Linked DNA regions of Saccharomyces cerevisiae S288C. The protein of the gene in region 2 interacts with the protein of the main gene of each other region in a pairwise test. Each region holds a gene or a part of one and is shown on either strand. Other genes may lie near its edges.

Region 1 (3,117 bases), on a different chromosome or scaffold from region 2:
TAGTCATAGATGAGGTTTTTGTGCGATTGATGAAACTGATGAAATCTTCGATCTTGACCTCGTGTAATATAGAGCTTTCCAGTAAGCTATTTTCTTGTTTCCGAAGACTTTTGTAGTCCGCCATGTCAGACCAATATTTCCGTATTTTCAACTTGTCATTGTCATTTAAATTCGCATTTGCTTTGATAAGGGCCAAGACCTGTTTTTGAATTGGATCCCTGCTGCTGTGGTTGATTCGTCGCAAGGTCCTGGTAGGTACCATTTTTATAAACCTCTCGGTCCTGTACCGAACGAGACGAGGTAAAAACATTGCATGGAAAGGGAAACGTGCAAAATGCAAACTACTGCTATCCTAAAGTGCTCACTGTTTATTATTACTGGATTTCAGACGTCGCTTCCCACATCGTCCCGTACAGCGTTCCATGATGATATTATACCACTTCTTTATTGTTTCTTTTTTTTCTTGAGCAGAAAGTGAAAAAAAAAAAACCAGACCCTTTACCACGTGACCGATTTTGACAACATGAATATGAATATAGTATACACATATATAGAGATACAAGCGAGGGAACGGGGCCCTTTAGTACACTGGTGAGGCGGTCAGTCTCCCAGAGGATCCACAGGCATCGCACATAGACCACTCCAACGCCTTTACAACGCACACGTAACAGTAGTTCGCACGACAACAAGCGATCTGGTATGGGTTGGTTGGAAAACCGCCGCAACGGGGGCAAACTGTCTTATAAGTAGTCGTAGAACGAGACCTTGGTGGTTTTTTAACAAAGGTCAAGAGTCCTCTTTTCGTAAGTAGTGTATTGGAAAAGAGTTCTAATAGTGCATTCCATAGCAATTGTCTATTCTGGTATTCTAACCCAGCGAATACAGAGTTCGAATAAAATTCAGAGGCAATTGCAGAACCATCCCGAATCAACCTTGTGGAATGGACATTAAAAGCCCGGTATAACGGCGACAAAAACGCCCTCGCATTGGGCCCTTCCGCTGCTAGAAACCTCAGGAAGTTGGTTACATCACAGCCGTGATACAATAAATTAACCCATTTGTACAGCTTCAGCCACATCATCTGGTTCCCACAGTGCGGCCCATTAAAAATAATATGTGTGATCTTCTTCCACACGTACCCTGCCAAGACAGTGACGACATACAAGGTGCGTTTCCTGCACTGAAAAACCACGCCACTGAGTGCGGATCCATACGTACAGCTAGAGCCATAGTGTGGCAGGAACCTCGTCGCGCACATAAACACAACTGTGTTCAGTGCCAACTCCCATTCCTCTTTGTGTTCACTCGTATTGAATGCTGCATTGAACTCGGACCAAAACTGTCCATACAATTCTTTATCAAGCGCTATCGAGTCGAGCTGTGCAACTCGAGACATGCTGCGTTGCCTTTAGATTACGTCTTCTCAGTTATCTCGGCAATCTCTCCTCGTTATGCTTTCCCTCCGTCTTCACTCATCCCTTATAATGCGTTTCCCAGCAACCTTATCGATAGAATGGAGGGGAAATCGCATCCGTTCCACTCCTCGGATCGATACTAACTTCCGAGACGTTGCATCAAAGGCCAAGACATGGCATTAGTCACCCTTGTTGCAACGATAGACGCATACTACGGACCCCTCAAACCTCCCTACCTGCCCGTCGCTATCGCATTAATTTTCTTTTTTTCCACTATTTTTCCGGCCCGCCACACCTCCGACTACAAGACGCCACATCTACGTTTTGTCACACAAAATCCAGGACAATAGCCGTCTGCAAGGCACCAAGGTTTTCAGCAGTTGCTTGTTGCTGCTGCCTGTTAATCACATCAAACCCACTGCAAGGGCAGTCGATGGGTCTGTAAACGCCTTAGCAATCGTTGTTGAAGAAAGAGAGCTCTTATCATCATGGGGTGCCCATCATTTTTCTTTTTTTTTCAAATTTTGGGCTATTCAATGAATTGTTTCGACTATATATGGACAATCATCGGAAGCTGTGTATTCTTGGTAAAAAGTTTTCGACTGTGTGGCAGAAAATAACCGCAACAATTATATAACGTCACAGAACACATGAGTACCATTTATAGGGAGAGCGACTCGTTGGAGTCGGAGCCCTCGCCAACGCCAACAACCATTCCTATCCAGATCAATATGGAAGAGGAAAAGAAAGATGCTTTCGTTAAGAATATTGACGAGGACGTCAATAATCTCACTGCGACTACTGATGAGGAGGACCGCGATCCGGAAAGCCAAAAATTCGACAGGCATTCCATACAGGAGGAAGGTCTCGTTTGGAAGGGCGACCCTACATACTTGCCCAATTCTCCATATCCTGAAGTGAGATCGGCGGTGTCCATCGAGGATGACCCCACCATCCGCCTCAACCACTGGAGAACGTGGTTCTTGACCACGGTGTTTGTGGTAGTTTTCGCCGGTGTTAATCAATTTTTTTCCCTGAGATATCCATCGCTAGAGATCAACTTCCTTGTTGCACAAGTTGTTTGCTACCCAATTGGTAGGATACTGGCTCTCTTGCCCGACTGGAAGTGTTCTAAAGTGCCATTTTTCGATTTAAACCCGGGCCCATTTACCAAAAAGGAACACGCCGTGGTCACAATTGCCGTGGCGCTTACTTCCTCTACTGCATACGCTATGTACATTTTGAACGCCCAGGGAAGCTTTTACAACATGAAACTTAATGTCGGATATCAGTTCTTGTTGGTTTGGACATCTCAAATGATTGGTTATGGTGCTGCAGGTCTTACCAGAAGATGGGTCGTCAACCCTGCAAGCTCTATCTGGCCTCAGACTTTAATTTCAGTGTCCTTGTTTGATTCGTTGCACTCGAGAAAAGTTGAAAAGACAGTCGCAAATGGTTGGACGATGCCCCGTTACAGGTTCTTCTTAATCGTCCTTATCGGATCGTTCATCTGGTATTGGGTACCTGGATTCCTCTTTACCGGTCTGTCCTATTTCAACGTTATCCTATGGGGGTCGAAGACAAGACACAATTTCATCGCTAACACAATCTTTGGTACTCAAAGTGGTCTCGGTGCGTTGCCAATTACATTTGACTACACCCAGGTTTCCCAAGCCATGTCCGGCTCTGTTTTCGCCACACC
Region 2 (3,415 bases):
CGATGATTGGTTAAGGGATCGTAAATTGAGGGCAGCTGCAAATATTGAACGCAAAAAGACCTTGGGGAATATACCTGAAGTTAAGACTGCAGAAACCAAGACGCCATTAAATGATAAAAAACGCAATAAGCAAAAAAGAAAATCGAGAATATTGAGCTTCATCAAATAAATCGGGATTGTTTCGATACATCATATAGTTGAGACCCATCTGTTCTAAAAGTATCAATATTAGTGTACCATTTTTTCTTCCTTTTTTAAATAATTTCCACGTTTCTTTCTATTGTTCCTGATCTTTCGAATTTAGTTGTATTTCACTTCACCTACTGTAATAACTTTTTTTTTTTAGAGCACAATAAAATTTCACATATTTTCCAAAAGCAAGGGCGGTAAATCAGAAAAGATTAAGCTTTAATGAAAATCTCATAGAGACCAGATGAAGAATATTGGTGGCAGCATAAGCGCTAATACTGAATAGATATACGCATTTTTTTTCAAAATATCTGTTAGTACATTTATACAAATATATTCGTTTATACCTCTTCTTTAAACAGGCGCATGTGTAAATAAATATGAGACTGATTCTCCATTATGCAATCTTCTGATAGCTTCTGCAATCGTAGGGCTGATATCCACCTGATCGACAATGTCCAAATCCAAATCAACAGGTACCGTGTTGGTGCAAACAATTCTTGATAACCTACTATTTATTAACTTCTCCCTAGCTGAGCCAGAAAATATACCATGTGTGACAATAGCGATAACCTCCTTAGCACCGTGATCCATTAATGTGTCACAGGCTTTCACCAGCGTACCACACGTGTCAGCCATATCGTCAATCAACAAGCATGACTTACCAGCAACATCACCGACAAGCAGCATTCGCGAAACTTCATTAGCTTTTTGCCTCTCCTTATGAATCAAGGCAAAATTCATATCCAGCTTGTCCGCTAAAGAAGCCACCCTTTTCGCACCACCAGCATCAGGCGATACCAGTATCGCATTATTGAAATCTGTTTTGGTCCTTATGTAATTCAACACACTTGGTTCACCGTATAAATTATCAACCGGGATATGAAAAAACCCTTGAATTTGTGAAGCATGGAGATCCATAGTAATAACATGATCACAACCCGCAGTTTCCAAAAGATTGGCAATCAGCTTCGCAGTGATGGGCGCCCGCGATTTATCCTTCTTATCTTGTCTAGCATAAGGGAAATTTGGTATTACTGCCGTAATTCTTCTGACTGATGCCGTCTTACAAGCGTGAATTAAGATAAGTAATTCCATTAAGAAATCGTTGATTTCATGTTCCCCGTAACCAGTTTGGATGATATATACGTCTTCATCACGAATGCTTTCCCCTATTGTAACAGACGTCTCTTTATTTGAATACTGATATACCCCCACTTTAGATAACGGTACACCAAGCCTTTGGGAAATAAGCTCAGCAAGCCCAGGATGTGAGTTACCAGCTAACAACTTAATACTGTTTGTAGACATATTCAACGAAACTTACGACAAGATAGTCTTTGGATGATGAGGAATATCCTCTTCTTAGCAATCCCTCGATGCCTCCTCATATCATCTATTGTTCAAAATTTTTTCATTGTTGAAAAATAGTCACGTGCTTAACCATTTTGCTGCGCGATTTGGTAGGAGGATAAATACACGGGCATACCGTATCTGTTCAATAGCAACAATGTCGGAGAGAGCTAAACTAGCCAACTCGCCATCCTATTCCACTGGTCGCTTGAGTCGATATCCTTCCACAGCAATATTGCACTTTACAATTAGGATAGCCTCCCCAATAAAATAAGGAAATTTTGGTTATTTGTGTTCAGAAAAAGCCGAAATCGATTGCAGAGAACAGAAAGGAACTTTCCGATTATCACACTTTAGGAGCCGTGATAAAGAAGACTACCATCGCATATCGCAGAAAAGACTTTAAATATTAACTAAAACCGCATTCGCAAATTGCAAACAAAGTACGTACAATAGTAATGGCTACAAAGCAGGCTCACAAGAGATTGACGAAAGAGTACAAGTTGATGGTGGAAAACCCTCCACCATATATTCTTGCTCGCCCCAACGAAGATAATATTTTAGAGTGGCACTATATTATCACAGGACCTGCGGATACTCCTTACAAGGGCGGTCAATATCACGGTACTTTAACTTTCCCGTCTGATTATCCATACAAACCACCGGCTATCAGAATGATAACACCGAATGGACGTTTCAAGCCCAACACACGATTATGCCTTTCTATGAGTGATTACCACCCTGATACTTGGAATCCTGGCTGGTCTGTCTCAACCATTTTGAACGGGTTACTAAGTTTCATGACCAGTGATGAAGCCACGACAGGATCAATTACAACATCAGACCATCAGAAGAAGACATTAGCAAGAAATTCCATAAGTTATAACACTTTTCAAAATGTTAGATTCAAATTGATTTTTCCGGAAGTTGTACAGGAAAATGTAGAGACATTAGAAAAGAGAAAATTGGATGAGGGGGATGCGGCAAATACAGGTGATGAAACAGAAGACCCTTTTACAAAGGCTGCGAAGGAAAAAGTCATCTCGTTGGAGGAAATTCTAGACCCTGAAGACAGAATACGCGCTGAACAAGCGTTGAGACAATCAGAAAATAATTCCAAGAAAGATGGCAAAGAACCTAATGATAGTTCTTCAATGGTTTATATTGGTATCGCTATTTTTTTGTTTTTGGTTGGCCTTTTTATGAAATGAAGCCATTAAATGAACTAAACTTTAGATAAATTTTGACAACACAGAATAGAAATCAATAGTATTATATAGACAAAACGGATCTTTTTATTATGAACATTGTGAATTATTAATTATATTTTTGAGTATGTATTGACCAAGAAACCTCAATAAAAATGAGGTGAAACCTAGGGAGACAGAAACTCCCATTTCAAAAACCTTCAACTTTCATTATAAGCTTACCTTGAGCACGTTGTGTAGCCATATAGGAAAATGCTTCCTTGAAATTTTTCCAGGAATAAACCTTATCAACAACGCAATCTACGACTCCCTCATTTAGCAGCTTGCCGCATTCATGTATCCAATCATTCTTCTTGGGGATAATCTTGATATTGGGGTCAAAGTAAAAATGAGAATAATCGTATGACCATAACATTGATCCAAACATTTTTCTTGCATTGGCGCTAGGGTTATCCCAAGAATCAAAGACGTCTTTCTTATAATTTCCAACATAATCACCAACTGTTGTAATATAAGCACCTTTAGCGTGAATTAAAGAACTCGAGTGACTCAAGATATCATAACCACCGATGAAGTCCAACACGACATTAAATTTACCCTGAGTATAATCTTCGGTTTCTTTGAGAGTATTAAAATCATCATAATCTACAACTTTACCGGTATCC

What was found.
Region 1: the proteins of UBC6 (region 2) and PEX2 interact in a protein complementation assay, tested with the Saccharomyces cerevisiae proteins (one study listed by BioGRID).

What each region holds. Positions count from the first base shown.
Region 1 is NC_001142.9:35,198-38,314, reverse strand, and holds PEX2 (ubiquitin-protein ligase peroxin 2), read right to left. Parts: upstream 1,397-3,117; coding exon 581-1,396; downstream 1-580. Other genes in the region: CBP1 (Cbp1p), read right to left, coding at 1-310; oligopeptide transporter OPT1, read left to right, coding at 2,066-3,117. UniProt on the Saccharomyces cerevisiae protein: E3 ubiquitin-protein ligase component of a retrotranslocation channel required for peroxisome organization by mediating export of the PEX5 receptor from peroxisomes to the cytosol, thereby promoting PEX5 recycling.
Region 2 is NC_001137.3:357,562-360,976, forward strand, and holds UBC6 (E2 ubiquitin-conjugating protein UBC6), read left to right. Parts: upstream 1-2,000; coding exon 2,001-2,753; downstream 2,754-3,415. Other genes in the region: putative ubiquitin-specific protease UBP9, read left to right, coding at 1-169; ribose phosphate diphosphokinase subunit PRS2, read right to left, coding at 544-1,500; AST2 (Ast2p), read right to left, coding at 2,941-3,415. UniProt on the Saccharomyces cerevisiae protein: Catalyzes the covalent attachment of ubiquitin to other proteins. Functions in degradation of misfolded or regulated proteins localized in the endoplasmic reticulum (ER) lumen or membrane via the ubiquitin-proteasome system.